Linked DNA regions of Arabidopsis thaliana. The protein of the gene in region 1 binds, or shares a complex with, the protein of each later gene. Links are inferred from orthologs where the notes say so. Each region holds a gene or a part of one and is shown in the gene's direction. Other genes may lie near its edges.

Evidence for each region.
Region 2: the proteins of MEE34 (region 1) and RPN10 are in contact, whole or in part, in a cryo-EM structure (PDB 8AMZ), measured with the Spinacia oleracea proteins. The link is inferred for Arabidopsis thaliana from one-to-one orthologs. Residues at the interface, in XP_056695798.1 of Spinacia oleracea: Pro65, Trp76, Phe77, Leu78, Asp79, His80, Asn81, Tyr82; in XP_021862213.1 of Spinacia oleracea: Pro65, Thr66, Ser67, Lys99, His100, Arg101, Gln102.

Annotation. Positions count from the first base shown.
Region 1 is NC_003074.8:3,525,897-3,533,923, forward strand, and holds MEE34 (Mov34/MPN/PAD-1 family protein), read left to right. Parts: upstream 1-2,925; 5' UTR 2,926-3,092; coding exon 3,093-3,279; intron 3,280-3,669; coding exon 3,670-3,762; intron 3,763-3,842; coding exon 3,843-3,924; intron 3,925-4,103; coding exon 4,104-4,200; intron 4,201-4,332; coding exon 4,333-4,408; intron 4,409-4,564; coding exon 4,565-4,623; intron 4,624-4,762; coding exon 4,763-4,885; intron 4,886-5,011; coding exon 5,012-5,069; intron 5,070-5,161; coding exon 5,162-5,247; intron 5,248-5,349; coding exon 5,350-5,421; 3' UTR 5,422-5,828; downstream 5,829-8,027. Other genes in the region: WOX5 (WUSCHEL related homeobox 5), read left to right, coding at 1,710-2,013, 2,123-2,367; AT3G11280 (Duplicated homeodomain-like superfamily protein), read right to left, coding at 7,581-7,968. UniProt on the Arabidopsis thaliana protein: Acts as a regulatory subunit of the 26S proteasome which is involved in the ATP-dependent degradation of ubiquitinated proteins.
Region 2 is NC_003075.7:18,054,419-18,062,272, reverse strand, and holds RPN10 (regulatory particle non-ATPase 10), read left to right. Parts: upstream 1-2,674; 5' UTR 2,675-2,813; coding exon 2,814-2,825; intron 2,826-2,906; coding exon 2,907-3,020; intron 3,021-3,114; coding exon 3,115-3,220; intron 3,221-3,347; coding exon 3,348-3,462; intron 3,463-3,541; coding exon 3,542-3,754; intron 3,755-3,965; coding exon 3,966-4,245; intron 4,246-4,329; coding exon 4,330-4,426; intron 4,427-4,509; coding exon 4,510-4,610; intron 4,611-4,708; coding exon 4,709-4,777; intron 4,778-4,862; coding exon 4,863-4,916; 3' UTR 4,917-5,285; downstream 5,286-7,854. Other genes in the region: AT4G38640 (Plasma-membrane choline transporter family protein), read left to right, coding at 182-1,245, 1,693-2,038, 2,129-2,389; MYB4 (myb domain protein 4), read right to left, coding at 7,397-7,854. UniProt on the Arabidopsis thaliana protein: Plays a role in maintaining the structural integrity of the 19S regulatory particle (RP), subcomplex of the 26S proteasome.

The DNA of each region.
Region 1 (8,027 bases):
TTTAAAAACAAGATGCAGTTTATATGCGAGAGAGACAAAGATATTTGTAAGTACTGTTATGTTGTCTAGTGAAGAGTACTTTGTTTATAAAAACAATGTTTGGTTTTATTCACATTGTCATTTTATTATTTGGACCATTTTCGTCTTGCTTAGCATCCCGTGCATGTCTCATCTAAATCCTCACTATTAAGACATTTTAACGCACACTACATGAATATTATAAGTTTTTCCTTTCTATTTCTGCTGGTGTCATACGTACTGTTCATATAGACATCAATAAGTTTCTTGTACAAACAACTAGACTATGCAAAATTATAAGAGCTGGATTGTATATTGTTAAAACTGAGGCATGTATGAGTTGTACGCTTAAAAGTGAAATATTTTTTCGGTCGCAGGTTATATACTAGAATGCAGTTAGATTTTAACTAAGAAATAAATTTTTGACCAAAGCATTTACAGTATAATGCATGATTTATGTTACTATTGCTGCTGTCTCATTTTCAGATTTCAAAAATCAGATCTAATTGACGTGATAGCATATAGAGGCTAGTAAAACACTATGAGTTTATACTTTTATTGATGGTTAAAATTATTTTTACATCTTGCAGTCATCTTTCAACCATTCTTCATTCTAGAAGGAGTTCTTGGTGACTTAATAAATGGCTTTTTACAAATATTTTGGTGTAGGACTTATATTATACATGTGTGTGGCGAACCTTCTGGTTCTATCTATTAAATGCCTTTTCTTTTTGTAGTTTTTTATGATTCAGAATTCAGATATTTGATTTTGTAATATTATATTTTCTTATAAAAGAGAATAAAATTTCAAATTTCCTGTCTACACTTGCCGACCAACGTTCCTCAAGTGTCACATCTTCTGTGCAAGAGAGACAAAACTACAATCTGTTCACACAATGTCATGATGTTTATAATTAATCTTATCATCTTCATTCATATCAAACTAATATCGGCCATCCATCCGTCTCAATAATGTAATTGCATACAATCTTTGTTTAGGACTTGCTAGCTATTTCAACTTATTATTGATTACAGATTAGATCTACAATTTGTAAAGAACTTCTAACTTCAAAACAAATACAAAAAAAAGAAAGTGAATGTAAAATTTCTAGTGTCATAATTTGGAATAGTTGAAGCATTGAAGTTACAATATCGAACGTTAAAATATTGACACTAGATAGTACATTACCACCAAGGCTTTCTGATTATTCTTATCATGTTATATGAATAGTAAGAAATTACGTAGAACGCAATTTAAGTGTGTGCGAGTCACCACAAATTAAAGGAGAACAAATTCAATGTTTCAATCGCTGGTTCCGATATACAACTTATGCATGCCATGGCATGAATGCGAGATCCAATTATATACTAATATATACACACAAAAACATATGTAAATATAGATGGAACAGAAGCCTAGATAGGTTAGGATAAAGAAAACGATCAAATCTGCAAAGATCAGTCTCTCCCAAATCCCCAAAAAAAACAAAGCATGCATTTCGTAATAAACAACTCATCATAAAACGACACATAACTCGAAAACCTCTCCTCCCGACATTTCATCAATTCATTTCTCTTTTTATTTTCGAAAAGATGAAAACTTAATAAATTATTATGAACAATCTTACTATATATATGGATATATACACAGGCCCTAAAACGTAAAACAGTTGAGGACTTTACATCTGAACATGTCTTTCTCCGTGAAAGGTCGAAGCTTACGTGGCAACAATAACGGAGGAACGGGGACGAAGTGCGGGAGATGGAATCCAACGGTGGAGCAGTTGAAGATATTGACTGATCTGTTTCGAGCCGGTCTTAGAACTCCAACAACTGATCAGATTCAGAAGATCTCTACGGAGCTCAGTTTCTACGGCAAGATAGAGAGCAAGAATGTTTTCTATTGGTTTCAGAATCATAAGGCTAGGGAGAGGCAGAAACGTCGTAAAATCTCCATTGATTTTGATCATCATCATCATCAACCATCAACTAGAGGTAGTCTCTTTATATATATATATATATATATATATATATATAATTATATATCATTATTGTTTTATATGATATTTCTATATATTTAATGGATAATAGTGTGTTATTATAGATGTTTTTGAAATAAGCGAAGAAGATTGTCAAGAGGAAGAGAAGGTGATAGAGACATTACAACTCTTTCCGGTGAATTCATTTGAAGACTCCAACTCCAAGGTGGACAAAATGAGAGCTAGAGGCAATAACCAGTACCGTGAATATATTCGAGAGACCACCACGACGTCGTTTTCTCCATACTCATCATGTGGAGCTGAAATGGAACATCCACCGCCATTAGATCTTCGATTAAGCTTTCTTTAAGTCATTGACCACAATAACAAAAGAAAAAAAACAGATGCTTTAGCCTTTAAAATGTTGTTGTATTTTGAATTATGACATATTATCCGATGCATGGTTTATGAGATATTTTCCAATGCATGGTTTATCAAAAAGTTGTCTCATTTTGTTTGATATAAGAATCTATGTTATGGAATGCGTATATGTATATCATCATATAACTAAGGTTGTGATTTGTTAATGTATTTTTCTATATTTTTTAAAAATAATTTAAGAAAGACATCATTAACGAATAGTTCTATTTGCATCACAGAAATACTAGAAATATCAGATAAACTTAAAACTTAAAAGATGTTAAAAAAACAAACTTAAAACTTATCTCTATCAATTTACAAAATTTACATCATCTCGAAATACTTAAGTCTTGATCAACAACCATTAGACCAAAAAACTTGCACAATCTTATCAGAATAAAACCAACTCTTTTAAACGAACAGATTAATATCCTTAATATTATTTTACCCAGACCCATTGTCTTTTAGGCCCATATAATTGGGCTTTATAATACAGAGAAGGCCCAAACTTTGGTTAAACCCATAGTGCCTAGAGAAGATTAATTAAAGGGGTTTTCCTGGAGAAGAAGCAAACTCAAGTTCCGTCGGAGATAAAACGGAATCAAAAGTTGAGGTTTTGATCATTCCCGGAGAAAGAAATTTAGAATTACTCAAGCGAATTTGATTAACCCAACAATGGATGTTATAAAGACGCAACAAATATCGGCAAGGACAATCGAGAAAGTGATCGTTCACCCACTTGTCTTGCTTAGTATCGTCGACCATTACAATCGTGTAGCCAAGGACACGAGCAAGCGCGTCGTCGGCGTTTTGCTCGGAAGTAGCTCTCGTGGTACTGTTGACGTCACCAACAGCTACGCAGGTGCCTTGATTTTACTTTTTCCTTTCTCTTTGTTCTCTTCGATCTCACAGATCTCTGAAAGTTTGTTAAGCTCTTGCTAATCTCATAATTCAATATGTTTAGTGTTCTTGTCTGAAAATTTACTTAAGTTTAGTTTTTTTTAGCTTTTGGGTTGCAAAATTGTCTTACTTTTAAAATCGTTGTGTGATACTTGGATTCAGTCAAACTTGGTCCTAGTGGCCTAATTCCATATTGGAGTGATGAGTATAATATGGTGGTTGAGTTAATTTCTTAGAGAATGAAACAGATTTCATTTGATTTTGCACAGTACATTACACTGTGAGCATGTTCATAAGTGCGTTGTTGTTACTTGCACATCACTTGTTTGACTTTTTGTTTGTGGTTTTACAGTGCCTTTTGAGGAGGATGACAAAGACACAAGCATATGGTTTCTTGATCACAACTACCACGAGTCGATGTTTCACATGTTCAAGAGAATTAATGGTATTGCTCGGGAAATATAATGCTTAAGAGTATATATGTGGAAAGCCTCTTTTTTGACTGATTTTCATATTTGCTTTCAGCTAAGGAGCATATTGTGGGTTGGTACAGCACAGGTCCTAAACTTCGAGAGAATGATTTGGATGTTCACGCTTTATTCAATGGGTAAGACCAAAATCAGTCTAAAATATGAGATATGATGGTCTAATCTAATATATGGTTTGGTGGTCTGTTTAAGTTATATATGTACAAACGTTTTAAAGCATTCACAATCTATCTCTCCTCTCTTGCTAGACCTTATTTCTGTATTACTTCGGTTTTAATCTTAGTTTCTGGTGTTGCAGCTACGTTCCAAATCCAGTGTTGGTCATTATTGATGTCCAACCTAAAGAACTTGGAATCCCCACAAAAGCATACTATGCGGTTGAGGAGGTGAAAGAGGTAAATACCAGCCAATTTTCTAACCATTTTACTTGCTCGACTGTTAAGTTGCATCTGACATACTTGATTTACTTTCTGCATTAGTTATATCCATATATCTAATTGCCTTGATCCGAACTTCTCTCTCTGCAGAATGCTACCCAGAAAAGCCAACAGGTTTTTGTACACGTGCCTACAGAAATTGCAGCTCATGAAGTTGAGGAAATTGGTATGTCTACATGGGGAAACAAATCCTTTGATAGTTTGATTTCCTTATTTCAGAGCATAAGAATGATGAGGGAATTTTTTTTTTTGTAAATGCTTCCGAGGAAACTCAATGGAGTCCTTCTTGCTTCGCTTACGCCAGTTGGTTGGTCTTGAACAGGTGTGGAACATTTGCTCAGGGATGTAAAAGACACAACCATCAGTACCTTGGCAACTGAGGTTATTTTCTTCACACATAACTTAAACATTTCATCATCAAGCTTCTTAATGTTTATTCAAATCATGATTGTTGCTCTCAAAACAAAATGTGAGGAACATATATTGAGGAAACTGAAATTATTTGTGAACTGTATTTCAGGTCACTGCGAAACTTACTGCTCTGAAGGGATTGGATGCACGACTTCGGGAGATCCGGACTTACCTTGACCTTGTAATCGAAGGAAAACTCCCATTAAACCATGAAATCTTATACCATCTTCAGGTAACACTTTTAATTGTAGTTGACTAGTAGAATCAAACTGGTTTTCGTGTTTGTTTTTTTCTCAGTATCCGTGACTGCTAGTAAGGATTATTCAGCTAAATTGAATACTCTTTTGCAAATCTGTAGGACGTATTCAACTTGCTTCCTAACTTGAACGTCAACGAGTTGGTTAAAGCCTTTGCAGGTTTGCTTTTTCTTCCTTGAAGTTTTATGTTCGCACAGGGTTTCTCTCATTTGAACTCTTTTTTTTTTCCTAACTTTATTCATTTTGTACAGTAAAAACAAATGACATGATGCTCGTAATCTACCTTTCTTCGCTTATCCGAAGTGTAATCGCCCTCCACAGTTTGATCAACAACAAGGTAAGATAGACCATCATCTCTCTATTTCTCTCTAGTAGGTGATTGATTTGAATTTGCTCTATGCAAAATTTGTTTTGTTAATCTGTGGATGCTATGTTTCAGTTGTTGAATAAGGAACATGAAAAAGCAGAGGACTCAAAGCCTGTTGACATACCCTTAATCACTGAGAGTTAAATGCAGCCAAATTTCGAGCTTTGGGAAGATATTTAATCGGATGTTACTCTGTCATTTGCTGCATGTGAAGAGGGTCTGTAGGGGAACAAAACGGGTTTGGTCTCGTTCCGATGATCTTCTATTACTGTTGTTTCTACAATGGTTGTTATTAGTATGTCGTTTCTGTCTCCAAAGATTCTTTTTTCATCGATTTTTATTTCTAGTTTCCCTAATTCTGATCTTCAAGGCAATCAAGTCATAGAAGATAACACTTACCATAGTTTAAAATTTAGAAAATCACTAAATTAGATTCGTATACATCGGATGTGTAGAGATCTAGTCCGGGGTTATAAAAATGTTATCAAAACAAAGTGTGTGAACGTGTGTTCACATTGATAGAGGAATAAAGGAAGAAGATTTTGTCATGAAAATTGAAAACTAGAAAAATAAAAGATATATTGAAGGGCCGCCAAAAAAAATAAAGAGGTGTTGAAGGCAAATAAAGGTCACACTAGTGGCGTAAGCTTCGTGAAAAGGATATGATGATAAGCGGAAATTTTGAAATTATGAAATCATGAACGTGCTTTGTTACGCATTATGCTTTTAAGCCTACTTTCGAAGAACATTTTCTTTCTTCTTGATAACAAAATGAACAAAGATTATAAATTAAGTTTTGTCGTTTACATAAAATATGTTCATGATTAGGAAGGATTTAGCCTTAAGTCGCAAAGCTTCTCGACGTTTCTCCTTCTTATTTTATTGTTCAATCTTCTTTATGATGTTTGTACTCACGGTATATGTCGGTATCGTAATAATACATGCAACTTTTGATGATGAATTATTTGACATATTTAAATACATCAGTTTTACAAAGAATTATCACAATTATCATTTTATAATTGTTATTCAACAATTTTCTAGAATATGTCCTTATAACTTTGCTATGGAAAAGATGTAACAATTGTACGTAATTTCACTTTAAATTTTGCATCCTGTTGTTCTCAAAGTTATCAGCATCGCAAATCTTAGTCATAAAATAGTGTATACTGTATAGTATATAGTAATGCACGTATGACGTAAGAACATTGAATGTTTTTTGATATTGGTACATCAGTGTAAGGCATGTAGATCCCATCGAAGCGACCAGATCGAAAGTGACAAAATAACAAAAGGGTGGCAAAAGAAATAAAGCCATAAAGTTGCAAGAAAGGAAAAACTACTTTGTTTTCTTTATCCGAAATAGGACTCGCAAATTGCAGTAGCATATGTCACAATTGATGATCAAGATTCATCTAATACATATAGAATAAGATATGGAAATCTATTAAATCCGATTTCTTTGAATATGAACTATGATAAAACTATTGCTTGATTAAGTGTAGCCTTTGGTCCAACTTTGCATATGAACTGTGATAAATAATATTTCAAAGTTGTTTCAATATAAATTTATCAAAGTTATTTCAAGTTGCATAATTCAAATGTGAGCAGTGTTTAGATTGGGGCACCAAATGATTAAAAAATAAAATAAACATTTCATTCATATATGTTTTTTATACAAATGACACCATTATACGTAATTCTAAATACGTTAATATATATATGAGTCAGGAGGTTGGTGTAATAGATGAGAAGAATGAGGTTCTTTGGTCAGAAGTGGAAAGCAGACTCAGCCTCTATTTTATACTCAAATCAATTCTTCATACCTTCCACCAAAACTTTACTCAATATTTAAAACTATACTATAGCCATCTTCTTAAATAAATCTAACCCAAAACATGTTTCACAAATTTCTCATTTTTGTGTGGTGTTTGATCTCTTTGAGTCTTTTTTTTTTTTTTAATCTCTTTAAGTCTTTATTACAGTATATCTTTATAATTTGCATTTAACACCATAAAATAGATATATTGTGGTAAATTGTTAGGGTTATCAACTTGTCATAAAGCACAAGTACTCTTTTTCACAACTATAAGTCTATAATTTAATCGAAAAGAAAACACAGATTTTTTTTAACATAACAGGTATTTAGTAGACAGAAACACAAAAATACAGAGTAAAAACAAGTTCTTACTTTTAAACCACACAATACATATATAATAAACTTGGTTTTGCTTATATTTCTCTAATTACAGTTTCAAAACTCAGATTCTTAAGAACGCTGAGTTTGGGGATTCTATGTTGCCTTAAGCTCCGGCACTGAAGACATTTTCTCCGGCGAAGTTAATGGCAGCTTCGAATGAAGTTGGTGATGGAGAAAACAGATTTTCTGAAGAGAGATTCTGACCCATAAATATTACTCCCTCCTCCGTATCATCCTTATCGATAAACCCTAAATCAGGGAGAATATCTCTATGATCGGAAAAGGAACGGTTGAGATTGGCATTGAGAAGATTGCCGGTTGTGATGTCATGGATACTTGGCCTGCGTTTGTCCTTGGCTCCGGAGAGCTGTCTCTGGTAATACTTTTGGGCGTGGCTCGCCACTTGCGTTGGCGTCTTTGACACCACGAAGTTTCTCGATATGTTTCTCCAATCTCCTTTACCGTACTTGAGAAGGCCTAACAAGAATCTCCTGCAAGGAACAAGAAACAGAGCATTGAAAACCCTAAGAAAAAAGGGGATGACTTGCGT
Region 2 (7,854 bases), on another chromosome or scaffold:
TGGCGAGATCTTGGATCATCTTCGCTTGGCCGCTTGGGCGGTGGTCGTCGGCATCGTCACTAATTAATTATTGTGATTAAGAAAAAATGCTAAATTGAGTTTCGTCGTCTTCTGCTTCTGCTTAAGCTTCTTCATCATTTAGCTCCAGAGGCGGAGCTTTCTTCTCTCTCTGTGGACGACCATGGCGGCGGACGACGGCGACCCCACTAAATTCGCTGCAATCTACGACTCATCCTCTCCGTCACACCCTCTTCTCTCTAAACCCTCCACGTCCGCTCTCGATTCTCCGCGTCGAAGTGATCCCGAATCCGACCCAACTCAGTTTCTTCAGATCTCCTACAATTTTGGCCCAAGAACTTTCAAGGACATCCCTTTCCTACTTCTCTTCGATCTTCTCGTACTCTCCACCTTTGGTTTTGGAATCTTCTCCATTTTTCATAGAAATAACGATTACGGGAACTCCTCTTCCTTCACCTACGATTTCACCTCTAGCTCCTGCGTCAAAAATTCTACCTTTACGAAAATTTCGGATGGGTACTACTGGGCTTCTTCGAGTGTCATGTACGGCATGGTTTCTTCGTCTGATCCAGTCTTTGAGAAGGATTTGATCTGGACACTTGTTGTAACGCTTATTTTAAGCGTGCCCTTCTGTTTTAGCGTCCTGCTTTTGCTCAAACACTACACTAAGCAGATTGTTTATGCTTGTTTACCTCTCTTTGTCCTTTTTCCCATCTTTTTCAATGTCTATTGGTTTGTCGCCTGTACTCTTAGCTCTTCTTGTAGCGATGCCCTCCCTCTAGCTTACAGAATACTTGTCCTAGTCTTTGTTTTCTTGATCATCGGGATCATTGTCTGGATCATAGTAGCTAATTGGCACAGAATTGATCTTACTATCCAAATCATCAGTGTTGCATCTGATGCCTTGTCCAAAAATTTGAAACTTTTTGTTGTGCTGCCGCTGCTGACTCTCGGGTTAGTGGTGTACTATGCGCCGATTGTGGTGTTCTTGGTGTTTGCAAGGTTTAATGGGAAGTTTGTGCCGCGAGAGTTGGATGGTCAGTACTTTTGTGAGTGGAAAGAAGATTCTTGGGTTCCTGCGTATTACGCTCTTGCCATTTTAACGATGATCTGGTCTCTTGCTGTAATGGTGGAAATGCAAGTGTATGTGATAAGTGGAGCTATTGCTCAGTGGTATTTCTCCAAGGAAGACTCAATCCCTAAAAAATGCATCCGGAGTTCTTTGAGGTGACTCGCTGCCACATCTTTCTCTATTTTATTCTTGTTATCAATGAATTTGCTGTGCAGTTTCTCTTACAATCAATGGTGCTCTTAGTTCTAATATATGTTTTGTGTGATCGCGGGAGTTTTTGCTTTGAGTTCTCTTAGTTTTGTTTCCTCATAAAATATAATCTATGGTCATTCGAAGTATCCCTTGCTTGGCTTCGTTCTGGAGTATTCAGTGATTCTAGGTCATGGTATTCATAGTCTTGGCCTTATAGATTGGATATTGTATTGGAATCCATCATCTGAACTTGTTTGGTACTTTAAATGTGAAAAGAGACAACAGACAGTGGTATTTTTGAAAGGAGATTATAGCTTTGAGGATCCAAATTTGCATTAGTCTTCAAATCTGTTGTTGGTTTATGTCAAAGCATGTGTGAATCTTATTATTTTTTGTATCTGTCTCTTCAGGAATGCATTTGGTCAATCCTTTGGTACGATATGTGTATCAGGACTTCTCATATGCATTGTTCGTGTGGTCCGGGCAATTGTGGACAATGCAAGAGAAGAGAACACACAAGGAATAGTGAACATGGTTCTCCGTTGCTGTGCAAACGCCTTACTTGGTGCCCTTGACTATCTCAACAAGTTCACCATCAACTTTGCTGCAATAACAGGGGAAGCGTATTGCACCTCTGCGAAAATGACTTACGAGCTGTTAAGACGCAACCTACTGTCAGCTGTATTTGTCGAAACGGTTTCCACCAGAATCCTAACCGGAATAGTCTTTGTCCTGTCAGCCGCATATGCAGTCGCGGTAAGTATTATCTTCTGCTTGTCTCACCAACCAAGCATTTAATAATTGCCATAATGACTAATTCCGGGGTTTGATGATGCGCAAAAGCAGACATGGGCTGTTCTGAGAGGAGTGAGCAACCTGGGTATAGATTCGTACGTGGTGGCTGTACTGGCGTGGGTGTTACTGATTGTGATATTGGCTTTCTTTGTACATGTTCTTGACGATGTGATTGACACAATCTATGTCTGTTACGCGATTGATAGAGACAAAGGGGATGTATGTAAGCAGGAAGTTCACGAGGTTTATGTTCACTTGCCTATCAGCAGAAGCACAAGATCTTCTCTCATCCCAAATGCTCTTAATGCATAGCAGAAGATGATCCAACGTCTCTGCTTGTTGTATCTTTTTTTGTTTGTTAGCACCGTTGTAAATTCCTCTCTGGTGAACTGTGGTTTGTCTTCTTGGGGTTTATATTGATGTTTTGTAGAGTTATGGGGTAACAATGTTGAATAAAAGAAAGACTTTAGTTATAGGAATTACTGTAATGTGGTCTGTGTTTCTTTTATTCATTAATAAATCAACTTTGTTTTGCTTTTTATCAAAAACAACCATTGGGGCTAAATTGAAATAAACGTAAAACATTAGGGTCTAAAAGGAGAAAGTAAAAAAGTAAAGGGGATATTTAAAGAAGAACAATGTTATTATTATCGGTCTAAACTAAAATCTAAATCTTGCCTTCCTGACTTTCTCTCTACGACAGAATTTTTGAAGCTTCTCTCTGCTTATCGACACGATGGTTCTCGAGGTGATTTTCCAATTACTTGTGCTTATCTTCGTTGATGATCCACGTTGAATGCTTTTTCTCATCGATGATTTCTTGTTGTAGGCGACTATGATATGTATCGACAACTCCGAGTGGATGCGAAACGGAGATTACTCTCCGTCTAGGTTACAGGCGCAAACGGAAGCTGTTAATCTTCTTTGCGGAGCCAAAACCCAGGTAATAATTTACGTTTTTTCACTTGATTCGATTAGGGTTTTTGGGTTTGCGTGAGATTGTGATTTTTAGGGATCTTTCTTTTTTGCAATTGCAGTCGAATCCGGAGAATACGGTGGGGATTTTGACAATGGCTGGCAAAGGAGTTAGAGTATTGACTACTCCTACCTCTGATCTTGGCAAAATTCTGGCCTGTATGCACGGTATGTATCTCTCTCTCCAATCTTTCTATTTATTATTAGCTGTCTACTTAGAGCAATTAGAAAAAATCTGTTCTTTCTCTTTATCATTGAGTTTGACATCAATTTGCTACTTGCGTCATCTTTTCAGGCCTTGATGTGGGAGGAGAGATCAACTTAACCGCAGCTATCCAGATCGCCCAGCTAGCTCTTAAGCATCGCCAAAACAAGAATCAACGCCAAAGGATTATTGTTTTTGCTGGAAGGTACCGAATTGCTTTGTTTTTGCTGAGTAACTTTTGTATAGTTTTATACTGATGTTTTTCTTCTGCTTCTACTTTTTAGTCCAATCAAGTACGAGAAGAAGGCCCTAGAGATAGTTGGAAAAAGGCTGAAGAAGAATAGTGTCTCTCTTGATATTGTCAATTTCGGGGAGGATGATGATGAGGAAAAGCCTCAGAAACTCGAGGCGCTCCTTACAGCTGTGAATAACAATGACGGTAGCCACATTGTTCATGTTCCTTCTGGAGCCAATGCTCTCTCAGATGTGCTTCTCAGGTACCATCCCTTTTCTTCTTTTTTTCTAGGTTATGTAGATTGTAAAAGGAACAGTTTCAACAATATCCGGCTTGGTAGGTGCACTTCATGTGGTTTTGTGTGTTTAGGTCTTTTGAGCTCTCTAGTCTTGCTTTTTATCAATGCTGCAACAAAACATTTAGACAGTGATTTGAATCATAGATAGTGTTTTAACTTTTAAATTTTCTTCCAGCACACCTGTATTCACGGGTGATGAGGGTGCAAGTGGCTATGTTTCTGCGGCAGCTGCTGCAGCGGCCGCAGGTGGGGACTTCGACTTTGGTGTGGACCCAAATATCGATCCAGAACTTGCTCTTGCCCTTCGGGTCTCCATGGAGGAGGAGAGAGCAAGACAAGAAGCTGCTGCCAAGAAGGCGGCCGATGAGGCAGGTCAGAAAGACAAAGATGGGGACACAGCTTCCGCCTCACAGGAGACAGTTGCTAGGACAACTGACAAGAACGCTGAACCAATGGTTAGTTGTTACTTAAAATTGAGTGTAGCATTCTTATATAGTCACAGGCGGAGAGATTGTTAATCATACAACCTTTTGTGGCAGGATGAGGACAGTGCGTTGCTAGATCAGGCAATTGCTATGTCTGTTGGTGATGTGAATATGTCAGAAGCGGCTGATGAGGACCAGGATCTGGCTTTAGGTAAGTAGAACAGTGTGGTAAAAGTATATCCATGGCAATCAAAATTGGCATTTTTCTTATATTTTTTTATACTCCATGTGCAGCTCTGCAAATGTCAATGAGTGGGGAAGAGTCAAGTGAAGCTACAGGTGCTGGAAACAACCTCTTGGGAAATCAAGCCTTCATATCGTCTGTTCTCTCATCGGTAAGCCTACATAAACCTTAGTCAGTTTTTTTCACAAGCAAAATGAAAGAGAAAAGTAGTAGGGTTAGCTTTGGTACTAAGACTTTGTGTACACGCAGCTTCCTGGGGTGGATCCAAATGATCCGGCAGTTAAAGAACTACTAGCGTCTCTGCCAGACGAGTCAAAGGTGTGTCTTTGTTGATGTTTATGATTACATCTTTTTGTTATTTGAAAAAGAAGATTCTGATAAATGTATATGGTTAAAATGACAGCGTACCGAGGAGGAAGAGAGTAGTAGCAAAAAAGGCGAGGATGAGAAGAAGTGAAGAAGGATCTGAGAGTCTCAATAAAAATTCCTCTTGTTTCTTTGGTTTGATAGAGATTGGAACTGAATTTAACTAATCTCTCTGCCTTGTGAAATTTGTTTTTTTCTCTCTCTCTCGCCTTTTTATAATGTTGTTATTGTACGAGTCAAGGACTAGCTTCCTTCTTAATTTTTATTGGACTTTATGTCAATGGGCTCTTAGAAAGTAAGCCTATTTGTTACAGGTCTCTCGATCAATTCAGTAGAATAGCGAGTCCTAAATTCGTAATGAACCTTGCACAAGTGTCAAATCTGAAATATTCTTACGACAGTGCAAAAAGTCTACATTGGTAATTAAATTTTGCTCACATTTCTGCGAAGTTATGTTTTTCTCCAAGTAATTAAAGTCCCACGTGGCAGTTAGGTACTTAATTCCTTTGTTCTACTGTTGGCTCGTTTTTTTGTTCTTTGCAATCTAATTTTTATATGCGCTTATTAGTCTGCTAATTGCAATCTATTTGCATTATTTAATTTATATTTATCCCAAGATATGTGTATTTGTCTGCTAATTGCCACATGCGAGCTGTAGTTTTGATCATCTACGTACGTGTAAACTATGCTACACAAACAAATTGAATTGCTAAATATGACTATCGTTAAAGACTTTTTATTGGGGAAACTTATTAGTGACGAAATTTCTTTGTTCCCTTTTAGAGCAAGAAAGGGAAAGACAAAAAGAGTCACAAGACTCACAAACTATAACATAAAAAAAAAGAAAGAAGAAAAACTGATAGAAGCTTCTATTGCATCTACCTAACACCTTTTGAAAAAGTCGTTTCTTTACAAATGAAAATGAATAATATTAGAAAGAAGAAGGAAGAGGAGGCAGGTGCGTCTGTCTTTGTTCACTTGTGTCTGTGTGTGTGGTCATCCTTTTGTCCTTTTCCCCTTTTTCCTTATCTTCAGTTCTCACCACTCCTCCTCTCCCATCTCTTTCATTTCCAAAATATCATCCTCCTCTATCAACTTCTACATGTTTTTTTTTGTTATTCCTTCACTTTCATAATATTTACCCAACCACTGTTAAATCTCGATGTTCGAAATTAATCAAACGTTCTCAACTTTATTTTAGACTTCAACTGATTTTGTTTTTTTTTCCAACTTTAAATTTGTTTCATTAGTTGATGCAACCTGAGAAAACTCTTATTGATTCCATTATTGTTGAGTTTGTATCTTCATCAGAATATGATATATATCAAGCCCCAGTGCTAGTGACAACAACTTGTCATTTGGTGATCATATAATTTCTCAAGTGATTATACCAGTTTTTGAGATCTTACCAATTTTTGGCCAAAACAAAAAAACAAACACACAACTGGAGTATATAACCATTTGATCAATTTTAAAACTAAATCTAAATATATACGAGGAAATAATATACTGCTCTATTGGGATTTGAGATGATAATTAATGTAGTAGCTAGAGAGGGTTTTTGTAGTGTTGAGGAGAGGATATCAACGAAGGAACATGTACAACACCGATTTTACCAAGCATCTTACGATAGAACAATGTTTAAGTTTACGAGTCGCTACTCTTTCTAAATTCAACCATGTGGCTACATTCAATGAAACTCCTATACATAATTTTTATATGCATGCATGCATAAATATATTATGTGGTATATGGATATACAGTATATGTATGTTATGCATTCATGTGTAATATGTATGTATGTATGTATGTATGTATGTATGTATGCAGATGTAGATCGCTTGCAAGTGGACAAAAGATGAGGAAAGGTTGGTATATAGGTTGGTAGGGAGATGGGTAGTGAGAAATAAATAGAGTTTGGTAGAAGAAAGGGTCCATTGGTTGTTGCTTCCTTTCCTTCATTTATGGTTTTCATTATTTTCTTTTTCTTTTTCACATATCTCTTTCTTTCCTTTTTTTATCTTAAAAACATTTAAGTTTTCTCCTACCTCCTTCTCTTACAACTTTTCTATTCCTGCCAAATTAACTACAAACCTCACTTTCCACTTGTCATGAAACATTTTCGATTTATCTTCTGTTTCACGTTCTTCTCCTAGATCTTTAATTATAGATCTTAACAAGGTATCATCTATACCAGTACAATCTAAGTATTATGTGATCAAGTATCTTTGCCATACTCGTAATCTTTTTTCTCCTTATTTGGCTTATCTCCAACATTGGATAACGAGTTATTTGGGCAACCAACCTAATCTTACCTCATAAACTGATAATCTTAATCGTATACAAATTAATTACAATAGAGCTATACGATCTAATGATCTATATTTTTATCACCGATCGTCTAGATCCGGTATTTAATATTTATGCCAATGGAGTTAATTTGTAAAAGAGAAAAAAAAACAAATTCTATATATTATAATTCACCAGTTAAATTTCTCATACAAGTTGAAGATATACTTTCAAATTATCTAGGCAAAAGTTTTGTACAGTTACGCCTAAAATTTGACAATATTATTTCATCTCCAAGCTTCGAAAGCCCAAAAGAGAAGTGGTCTCTTTCTTTGCCAACCCTAAAAAATCAAATCCATTGCTCATGTCACTCCCCTTGCTGCTACCTCCGACTACATCGCATCTCATTCTTCCGCATCTGCACTCCATGCCGTTTATCATCCCTAAGCTGCACTTGAAACAACGTGGCGTTGTTGACTTTCCATGCCCTTGAAGACGATCAACATCATCAGGAAGACTGATTCTGAGCTCAAGATTCAAATCTGGGAACTTTTCTTGAACTGGGCACTCATCTTTTTCTTCTTTGAACGTAAGCATTGAGATTTTCTCTGATTTTCCCGGAAAGCTTATACTTTCATGGAACGTTTCGACCTTTGGAGCAGAAGTGAATGAGATATTAATGGTATTACTCGTAACTGGTTCTAGTTGTGTAGGTTTAGAATCTTGAGAAGCTGATGATT